Linked DNA regions of Drosophila melanogaster. The protein of the gene in region 1 purifies or fractionates together with the protein of each later gene. This does not show direct contact. Each region holds a gene or a part of one and is shown in the gene's direction. Other genes may lie near its edges. The genes, in order: Gcn5, Atac2 and Nipped-A.

Region 1 (3,756 bases):
TCGCCTTTTCCGAAGCATTAAAACTCAGTGTATGAAGTGAACTAGAAATGCTTAGCCAGTGAGTTAGCATGTAGCTGTTCCAACTTTAAATAGACTCCAGATTTCAAAGCTCTCACTTAGCAAATAAGCTTATACCATACCCTTTTAAATAACGTTTTCATCCGTTTACAGACGAGGACAACAGCTCAACCTGGTTTGGCTCCGACCGCGATTACACATACGACGAGTTGCTGAAGCGGGTCTTCGAAATCATTCTCGACAAGAATCCGGACATGGCCGCCGGCCGAAAGCCAAAGTTCGTGATGCGACCGCCGCAGGTGCTGCGCGTGGGAACCAAGAAGACCTCCTTTGCCAACTTCATGGACATTGCGAAAACGCTGCATCGCCTGCCCAAGCATCTGCTCGATTTCCTGCTGGCCGAGTTGGGTACCAGTGGCTCCATGGACGGCAACCAGCAGCTGATCATCAAGGGCCGTTTCCAGCCCAAACAGATCGAGAATGTGCTGCGTCGCTACATCAAGGAGTACGTCACCTGTCACACCTGCCGCTCCCCGGAAACGATATTGCAGAAGGACACGCGTCTCTTCTTCCTGCAGTGCGAATCCTGTGGCTCCCGCTGCTCGGTGGCCAGCATTAAGTCAGGTTTCCAGGCTGTCACCGGCAAACGTGCCGCCATACGAGCAAAAACAACCTAAATTCTCCTTATTTAAAACTTTTTGAATTTTTATTACCAGTAAAATTTCAATACAAAAAACCAACGATACTATTTATTTGTTGTATTCTGCATTGTTTTATGCCTTCGTTGCCAGTCGGTTAGGTAGTCTACGAAGCCAATTTCCATATTCCGCGATCGGCCGCTGTCTATGAAGAACTGAAAAGCGTCCAGACCCATCTTGCCGCGGAACCTATTCGGACGACCGCGCAGGAATAGGCTGTGGCCCCTCGAGATGCGCGTGGGATCAATGTACTCCATGGAGACCTGCAGCAGCCGCATCATGCTCACGGCAATGCTCTTGTAGGCCTCGGACGAGGCCAGCGAACTGGCTTCACTGTACAGGCTGCTGATCACGCGTCCATTGAAGGGTTTTTTGGTGATGCTGGCCTCCAGGGAGCCGGTGCCATCATCGATCATGAACTTCATGAACGACTCGTTGTGCGTTCCATTGCCAGTTACAAAGGCGTAGATGATGCAGGTGCAGAAGTGAATCGGATGCACGTCGTCTGTGATGAACACATTCTCGTTCTCCGGATCCTGAGTTGCGCGCTCAATCTGGGATATGGTCAGCGGCACGTTGTCGTGGACCTCCGGACCACATTTGCCCGTGGACTTTTCACTCTGTTGATTCTTGCGTATCACGAAGTTATCCAGCTGGCTTTCTATGTCCTCGAAACTCTGATTAAAATCCATTCTATTTGCTTAGTCTGCGATTTCAAAGGGGATTTCTTTATTGCAGTGCATTTTGCATTAGCGCCAAAAAAAAAAACAGTTGTGAGCATGGGCGTAGACTTCGTATTTTCTTACAAATAATATTAATTAAAATTAATTTTGTGAGCAATTTTCACACAATTGTATTATAAGTTAAAACCAGGGTCACATTAATTTGCAGAACCGCGCAATATTTTCTTTTTAACCCCCTTACAAATTTTCAGTTGTTTTGACTACGCCCCTGCTAATTTTTACTTATTAAATTCAAAGTCTAAAAACATTGTCACCAGATAATACGAGTATACACTATATGGACAAACGTAAAATCGTTAATAGAATATATATATTCAACCATTATTTCACCACCGAGAGAAATTCATTTGCACAAAACGCCAGGTTGGCAGCACCATCATTGCGCACAGCAAGTGGGCAAACTCGTTGTATCGCTTGTGAAATTTAAGGAAAAGTACACTTTGTTCAAAACTAACGAAGAGAATCGCAATATCTGCCGATCTTGGAATGTCTGGTGGTCCATCCATAACGATAAAAAGCCAACCAATCGATGGTAACAACACGGGCAACGCTGCGGCGCAACAGCAGCAGCAGGCAGCGAATGGCGCAGCAACCGCTGGTGCATCTGGAGCCGCTGGCAGCGCCCAGAATCCAGGACACGGAGGAGCTGCGTCCGGCGCTGGCAGTGTGCCGGCAGAGGGAACGCGCCAGAACAGCCTACAGCGCATTCAGCAGCGAAAGCAAAAGGTCTTCAATCTGCCCGTGCCACAGAAACTGGCCAAATTGTCGATGTATTCCGCCTGCCAGTCTGAGGGATGCCGTTGCACCGGCTGGAAGACACCGCAGGAAAATCGCCACCGTGACGTCGAGTCCTCCTACTGTCCGGAGTTCAACGAGGAGTGCCGCAACACCAGCTGTCGCCATTCGCTGAGATCGCACATAGCCCATCTGGACAATATATCCAGTTCCAGCATGAACGAGCTACTGGGCGCCATTATAGACATGGAGAACCTATTCATGTCCATGCAGCGCGTCGAGGACGAGGACACCAAGAAGGTGTACCAGTACCTCTTCCGTTTGCTGCGCCAGTGCGTCCTCACGCGCCAGCAGGCGGTCATCCGGGGTCCTCTCGGCGATCCACCATTCGAGACGCCGTGCATCACCAAGGCTGTGCTCTCGTTGGTCTTCTACAAGTACAATCACCTGAGCACGCCTGAACTCCAAACCATGACCGAGGTGGCCAAGACGTTCTTGAACTTTCTGAACCACTACAACTTTGAATCGCCGTCGACCAGGAGAGGAGATCTCACCCACGAGGATGCCTCTAACTACAAAATCAACTACACCAGGTGGTTGGTGTTCTGCCACGTGCCCGCCTTCTGTAACTCCCTGCGCCAATGTGAAACGTCCCTAGTGTTTGGACGAACGCTCCTGCGCACCGTTTTCCAGTGCATGTCGCAGCAGCTGAAAAAGAAGTGCATCTCCGAGCGGGATCGCTTTCCCGAGGACAAGCGTTCGATCATCACGCTGATGCCGAAGTTTTTGGAAACGCTTCGCGCCGAATTGCTCAAGGATGATTCGCCCATCTGGGATACCAGCTACCGCCCGTCAAATTCCTTTGTCATCCAGCAGAGAAAGCGTAACCAGGAGGTGGCAAATGTACCCATTGGTCCCAGTGCAGCAAGCATTGGTGGAAACAAGAGGACCAGTGTGGGTGAACCGCTCCACAAGCGAATCAAAAAGGAGCCCACCGATCGTCCAAGCAGGTTGGTAATCAGTTTTTTCTTCTTTCAATACATTTACTAATCGTCCTGCCGCAGTGAGAATTTGGATGACCTGCCTGCGGATGTAGTAATGCGCGCCATGAAATCGGTGTCCGAGTCGAAGACCACCAACAAAGCGGAAATTCTCTTTCCGGTTAATGTGTCGCGGGATGAGAACGTCAAGGCGGAGGAGCAGAAGCGAGCCATTGAGTTCCATGTGGTGGGCAATTCGCTGACCAAACCGGTGGACAAGCAGACTGTTTTGTGGCTACTGGGCCTGCAGCTCGTATTTGCCTATCAGCTACCCGAGATGCCGCGCGAGTACATCAGCCAGTTGGTTTTCGACACCAAGCACAAAACACTGGCGCTCATCAAGGAAAACCAACCCATCGGCGGCATCTGTTTCCGCCCGTTTCCGTCGCAAGGCTTCACCGAGATCGTTTTCTGCGCGGTCACCATGTCGGAACAAGTTAAGGGCTATGGCACGCACTTGATGAACCACTTGAAGGACTACAGCATACAGAGGGGTATCAAGCATCTGCTCACATTCGCCGA
Region 2 (3,756 bases), on another chromosome or scaffold:
CAAAGAATTTAACAATTATTGTTAAATTATATAACTTATAATGCTATTTAATCAAATATTCATCGAGCATCGTATATATTTTCTCAGTGCATCGGCTGGTAGCAGCCCCACTAATAACGCTAATGGCTTCGATTAAGTGACAGCCAGACGGCGTTTGTTTGCCCCTCACGATGGGGGGATGCCCCCATATCCTTCCCTTACTTTTCCCTTTGTGCCAGGACCTGGCCTTAAATCGTTCGGAAAACGGTCAAGCCATGGCCGTGGAGCTAAGGTGCAATAAGTCTGGTGATTGAGAGCAAATACGGTTGTTATGAACAAAATGGGTGGCCAAACAAATTCTAACCAGCATCGCATCTGTAAATGTCATAATCAGCTAGTAAACGACTATCCAATTTGTCAAGCTCTTTCCAGAAAATATTTACCCTCGAGCTTTAAGTGATTTATGAGTGAAACTCATTTTAACTTTCGCAAAACTAAGATATAGATATACTTTAAAACATAATTCGGGGATATACTTTTGGCTGTAGTAGCACCAACAAATTAATTTGTTTCACCATATTTTTCGCTCTTTTCGACTTGCCAGCGGGCAGTCGCGAATTAAATGAAAATCTCCTCGAGGCGCCAGACAAGCAAGTTGAAAGGAATTCAACTACAGATATTAAAGGCAGGGAAGAACTTGAAGTGCAATATTCAAATTGAATTGAAAACGATGAGTGTTGAAGTGAAATCGTAAATAGGTGCATATCCTGTAAGATGCACAAACTGCATGCTTTGCAGTAATAATCATTCGGCAAATAGAAAGTGATTTACAAAAGAAACAATTGTGGATCCGTTCAGCTTTGGTTCTCAACTGAATACCCCACTTAGCCGGCCTGCAGTTTCGACCATCCCACTTCAGTCCATAAACCAATCATGCACTTCATCAAACACACAACAACAGCAGAAGCAGAAGCAGAAGCAACAGCTTCGCCAGAACGCAGCAGCCGGCGATGCCTAATTAGGCCCGCTTAAGACAACACACTGACCGGGCCAAAAGCAATGGGGCCAGGTCCGATGGTCGATGGTCTGCCGGAAACAGCCTTAATTATGCGTAAGCCGTAAAGAGCCCATTAATGTCATTTTCGTTGCATGGCCAAAGGACGCTGGGCGTTGGGTGGTGGGTGGTGGGCGTTGGTACTAATGTGCTTGGTGGGCGTAGGGCGTGACAAACGCATGCTTGATCAAGCGAAACGGGACTGTACTAATCAAGCGGATTCTTATCTTCTAGATAGGGAGAACATAAAAAACAATCGGGATCTTTTATATAGTGTATATAAGGGCATAAGGATATGCTAGATTCGTTGAAAAGTAGGTAACTGGCATAAGAAATAACAAAAGAAAAAGTCATTCCCGACAGTATTAAGCATATATATGTAATCAGGATCAGTGGACGAGTCGATTAAAACGTGTCCTTCTGTTCGTCCGTATAAGCGCTGTGATCTCGGGAACTTAAAAGTTAGGAAGCTAAGATGGAGCAATCAGATTCTAGACATGTAGACGCATCACAGTTTGTTTCAGAAGAATGCCACGCCCACTCTAACGCCCACCAAGAGCTCAAAACTTTTAAAAAGTGTTTTGATATTTGCTTGCAATTTCTAAAAATGTGACAAGAAAATGTTGAATACACCTGAGAAGAGGGTATATAATATGCGAAGACCATAGCCTTGTCTCTGTTCCATATTAATTAAAAATGCTTATTTATGACATTTTAACAATAAAAAATTATTTTAAATTATGTTAATGCTGACATCTTCGGCATTTTAAAACGGCAATGTTAATAAATAAATAAGTGCTTAATAATAATATGTTTTGTAGTGCTTCAGAAAAGATCAATTAAGAATACAAATTAATTTTATTTTTTGTTTTCCCAATTCAAATTATTGACAAATTTGAACCGAGCACAGTGCGATTTTTTGGTATTTTCAAAATGTAAGCTTCTCATATATATGGTATAAACCAAAAAGTGCGAAACGGTAACACACAAACAACACATTATTTTGTTGATTGTTTTTAACTTGCAATTTGTGCTGTTTTACTGAGTAAATGAATCGGCCCAGTAACTGGGATGATCCCCAGGGACCATGCCGCTACTGTGAATCGCCGGTGGAGGACGACAACTACCTGGAGTGCCAGGAATGCAGGCGGATGGTTCACATCAAATGCCTGCCGCATGCTTGCACGCCCGGAGATCTTTTAGGCGACGTTTTCTTCGAGTTCACGTGCGTCAAGTGTGTGCTGGATAAAGCTAAGGAATCGGTCATACCCTCAGATCTAGAACCCATTAAGGAAGTGATCGTGCGCCAAAGGATACCTTGGCTGCTGGTGCTCACCCTAACGCTCTACAATCTGTCCATCAAACAAAAGGGCTTGGGACACCATGGATTCTTCCATTGGCGCACGCACATCATCAGTTTTGTGGACAAGAACTGGAACTATATATTCGGTCCCAATGTGTAAGTATTCGTAAATGAATAATTTCCGGAGAACACATTCAATTTATTCCCCTTGTTCAGGCGGCGTCGCAAGCAATGGACTGGTTCCGTATCCGGCGCACTGTCCCACAACAGTCCGGAGTACTTTCAGTCTGGTCTGGATGTCTTTCAGGAGAACGGCTGGTGGAAACTGGCCAAGCCCTTTCAAACCCCAAGAAGCGTTCTCAAAGAATGTAAGTGCCACTTAAGTTAATGATATGATAGATTTCACAAGTCGTCACATTTCAGATGAGAAAAAGCAACAGTTGCGGCTACAAATGCGTATTGAAAAGCGGTTGCCTGCAGCGGACGAGACCAGCTGTAGCAGCGAGATCTCAGTGGCGGATCATGCCCAGGATAACCCACCGCTTATTAAAGCAGAAGCTGAGAAACCCAGTTCAACAGAGGGCTGTGCGCGAACAATGTAAGATAATTAATTTTGAATACAACTATGCGTTCCTTTCATTAAAATCTTTCACTTTTATTCCAGTCCCTACATGGGCCGTTTGCCAAAGATACAAACACAACCTTCACCCTTGTCACAGGAAACGCTTCCAGGGCCACCAATTCTTCAAGAAAATATAGCGCCACCAAGTCAGAAGGAGGAAGAACCACAGAATCAGCCTATGAGCATGGTCCAAGCAGGCCTGATGGATTTTCTGGCTGAAAGTTTGGAAAGCGATGATTTTACCATGTTTGGTAACCTACCAGGCATAATGCCCCCACCCCTGATTGGAGCGGGTAAAAATGATTTCTTCATGACCGAGCCGTTGCTTCACGCACCTTTGAATAATGAAGGTCTTTTCGACATGGATACAAATTTTGCCATACCAAATACCGCTGATGAGACCAAACCCATATCAACAGAAGAACCTGCAGCCGAAAGCAGCGAGGAACAAAAAGAAGGCGAGGTAGAAGATGAAAAGCCAGAAGAGGACGAATCACCCGACTATCAGCCACGCATCGTACAGGTTACAAATTACCAGGCGCAAGAGGCAAACGAAAGCATCAAAGAGGAACCACTAGAAGAGATAATGCAAGATGATGACGTCACGACAAATAGCAAATCCTCTATCCTAGAGCCTTGCAAACCGAGTGGATTTGTCAGACAACCACGGCGAAATTGGCCCTGGTTGCAGGAGGCGCAGGATCCCGATGACATGGCCATTCCTAGCGAAAATCTCAAACTAATAAATGCATACGAAGAACAGAAGTTGTACCAGCGACTCGATAGAATATTCGCACT
Region 3 (3,756 bases), on another chromosome or scaffold:
CATGTCCTGACTTGTCTTGTCGCAAGGATGATTTCGATCAGATTAAATACTAAATACTTGTCTCTCAAACGTTGAGTTCTGCCTCGGCGTCGAGATATATTGTAAAAGCCCGTAGCCATTTCTTCCATTCATTTCGGAGGGTTGCCCGTCGATCGCCTCGCACTGAAACGGTTTTATGACAATGGTTTTATTTCCAATATGGGACCTAGAGTTGGGGTTTATAACGAAAACAACTATTAGATGTTTAATTTGTCTTGTAATTATTACCCATCCCTAATTCAATAATATCCCCGATTTACATTTGGGGATTAGTTGTTTTCGTTTGTTTGTTTGTTGTTTCTTCTTTGGCTTGCGGAGGGTAGCCTGCTCCACCCGACCTTTATATTATTATTATTTTTTTATGGAACTCAGATTAATTACCTAGCTCTTTTCTTAATAGCTGGTAATAATTTCTTTTCTTCTATTTTTAGATTTATTTGTTTATGTGTTTTTATTAATTTCTTTTTTTATATGTTTTGGCTTGTACCACAGCTCCTCTCTGTAGAGCTCGGCTTCAAAATTCTTTATCTTGCTTTTCTTAATATGCTTTGGCTTATACCATTACTCAGCTTATTTATTTCAGTTCACTTGGCTGTCGGTTGAAGTCATTGAAGTCATATTATTAATATTGCCTTCAATAATTAGAAGTCTTGCAGTTCGATCGCTCGATCGACCGCACTGGAGTGTTAGGTGTCAACGTCGCGTTCCGATGCTTAGTTGATTGCAATGCCGGCCGCCACAGGGATCTTTTGAAATATACACTAGTCGGCATAAGTATTTTGACAAAAAAAAGCTGCACACTTGTCAGTGAAACTTTTAAATGGCTTGATATGGTAGTATTGACTATTTTTTATTTTTTGTGTGTAATTAATATAAACTTAAAAATGAACAAACGAAATTGTTTTTATTTAAATTTAAAAAGTTATAAGAAACTTAATGAAATATGATGATTTTTTGTTTCGGCATAAGTAATTTGACAGGCCTTCAATTCAAGGTAAATAAGTCTAAATGAAGCTGGATTAGCTCCTTATTGAAAAAATGAATTTGGTTTATCCGTTTCTTTCGTCATCTATGACGATATGACCCACCATTGAATATTGAATATTGAATATTGAAATATTGGCACTCCTTTATTTATTATACCATTGAAGTAATAATCCGAGCATTTCGACCGACTATATTAAAGAACATAATAAAAAATCTAGTTATACCGAATTATTACTACATCCACAAATAAACGGAGCTAAATGTTCTTGTGATTAAATCCATCACTAACAATACACATTATTTAGTATTTTGTATGTTGATTTCCCTACACGTAAATATTTATAGAATAACACAGTTATTGAAATAAAATAGCAATAAAAAACATTTAAATTTAACTTAAAGATAGACAAGCCTGTATCCTGCAGTAAACATGCAAATAAGATGGAATTAATTCCGTGCCAATTTTTAACACTGAAGGTTGTGAAAGGTTTAATATAGATGCATCTCTGTGGGAGCTCTATATTATATAAAAAATTGAAGCATTTCTAAAATATTTTTGCGTTCCTGTTTCAAAATTTCTTATATGCTATCTTGACAAACAATTAAATCGAATATATCGGTCATACAATTTCCGACTATTCCTTTTTGTTTACAGCGGTCAAGTTGTTGAACGAGTTAAAAGGCACAATGTCGGTTATTGAAAATGTACCGGTGAATACATTTCGGAATTATTTAAATATTTTAAATGATTCCTCTTCTAAAGACGAACTTAAGCTGAAAGCTACTCAAGAGCTAAGTGAACACTTTGAAATGATAATGCAAAGTCCGGCATATCCGTCGTTCTTAGATAATTCTTTAAAAATATTTATGCGGATACTTCAGGATGGCGAACCTCAGTTCATTCAAGAAAATACAATGCAACACGTAAGTTTTAAAATTCACCATTGCATGGGCCTTAAATGAAGAAACCATGTTTGGTTGAAATAACTGTCAATGAATTTCGGCTTAAATATATGTAGTTATCTTTTAAAATGCAAAGTTGAAAATATTTTGTGTTTACATTTGTAACTCCCAATAATCGGAACTTTTATGTTTGTACAATACAATTATTTTATTAATATATTTTATATACTTATTTATGTAAAGCTATCTATATAGTACTATAGGGAAACCTTTCGGTGCCCTAGTAACAATCTTTTAAAACTGAAAACCACTGTTTCTGATATTTAAAACGACCGTGCATTGTGTTTGTGCTACGCAACTTTAAGTTTTGCGCAGATATTATGCATACATTGCCAGAAGAAGTATTATTTAAAGCATAACTTTGATTGCAAAAAAAGAGTATATTTTTATTATCGATGTCGACTTCATTAATTTTAAAATTTGAAACACATTTATTATTTATTACGTCCGTAGGTTTTCTTAGGTAGTATTATGTTTGGCAAACCAATAAAAATTTGAAAGTCACATAAAATAAAAAATTCAACAGATTTCTCAAATATGTGGGCGTGGGGTGTTTTGAACAGCTTGCCGGCGGGGTAACATGCGACTAAGTCTCTGTAGACTCGGCTAGTGATCCTGATCAGCGGAAGTTTCTTAACCCATGTTGTCTGGGGCCTGCTTACATATTCAGCACTGTTCTCAGATAAAAGAATAAGCAGAGAGGGAGACTCCACCTAATGCAAACAAGCAGTATCCAAAGCGGAGTTACCGAATAATGTAAACTAAAGGTTTTTTTTTTGCTTTTACTCTACGAGCAACGGGTATAATCATATATAATAAAATATGTCATCAAAGTTAGGCTTTAAGTGTTTACGCTGATACGGATGATACTGTTCCATAATGACTCCATTTTGCATCAGTTGGCGGTGGCTATATCTGGCACGGATTAGAAGATTTTTAATGTGCCTTCTTATATTCACCCGCCTCACATCTCAAATCTAAGAAATAAATTTTACTAGAGTTTTGTCCAATGATGTCCGAAACGTGCGATCAAAAAAGGGAAAAAATATCATTGTTTTAAGACATTGCATGGATATACTTTTTTGCGGGATAAGGAAAATAATGGTTTATACGAGATTATGCTGCAATCTACAATGTCGCCGTAGAACCTGTTTGCGTAGTACCGCCTCAAATTGAAAAGGAGCAGATTTTTGCAAACTCGCATTGACTTTTTGGGACATGCCATTGAAGGTGGGCAAATGTGGCAGGCCAAAAAATATTAAAGCTGTACAATCATTTCTGGGGCTAACAGGATTTTTCAGAAAATTTGTTCCAGGATATGCTTTAATCGCGCGTCCGCTGAAAATTTTTTTTGAAAAAAGATGCACTTTTCTACATTGGTGAACATTAAGCCATACAGCAATTAAAAGACGACTCAGACATTCCCGTACGGCAAATTTACACAAGAGATGCAGAGACAGAACTACACAGTGGCTCTTTAAAGGATGAATTTGGAGCTGTGTTGCGGCAGATGGTGGACGGCAGTTTTCATCCGGTTTATTATTGGAGCAGGAAGACTTCCGAAGCCGAATGAAAGCGACATAGCTATTACTAAGAAGACAAAGCAGCGTACATAGGTATGAAGAAGTTTCGTCACTACCTGCTAGGAATATAGTTCAAGCTCATTACAGATTGTGTCGCTTTTTAGCAGACTACAACCAAACAAGACGTACCGAGAGATGTAGGACCATGGATTATGTAAATTCAAGACTTCACTTTTACAGTAGA

Evidence for each region.
Region 2: the proteins of Gcn5 (region 1) and Atac2 purify together in Drosophila melanogaster (affinity purification with mass spectrometry; 4 studies listed by BioGRID, with this or other methods). This does not show direct contact.
Region 3: the proteins of Gcn5 (region 1) and Nipped-A purify together in Drosophila melanogaster (affinity purification with western blotting; 4 studies listed by BioGRID). This does not show direct contact.

What each region holds. Positions count from the first base shown.
Region 1 is NT_037436.4:12,522,093-12,525,848, reverse strand, and holds the start of Gcn5 (Gcn5 acetyltransferase), read left to right. Parts: upstream 1-1,834; 5' UTR 1,835-1,945; coding exon 1,946-3,204; intron 3,205-3,258; coding exon 3,259-3,756. Other genes in the region: eIF2beta (eukaryotic translation initiation factor 2 subunit beta), read left to right, coding at 172-695; ver (verrocchio), read right to left, coding at 764-1,408.
Region 2 is NT_033779.5:18,610,505-18,614,260, reverse strand, and holds the start of Atac2 (Ada2a-containing complex component 2), read left to right. Parts: upstream 1-2,011; 5' UTR 2,012-2,082; coding exon 2,083-2,492; intron 2,493-2,552; coding exon 2,553-2,704; intron 2,705-2,759; coding exon 2,760-2,934; intron 2,935-3,000; coding exon 3,001-3,756.
Region 3 is NT_033778.4:5,248,923-5,252,678, reverse strand, and holds the start of Nipped-A (Nipped-A), read left to right. Parts: upstream 1-1,656; 5' UTR 1,657-1,713; coding exon 1,714-1,950; intron 1,951-3,756. UniProt on the Drosophila melanogaster protein: Part of the Tip60 chromatin-remodeling complex which is involved in DNA repair. Upon induction of DNA double-strand breaks, this complex acetylates phosphorylated H2AV in nucleosomes and exchanges it with unmodified H2AV.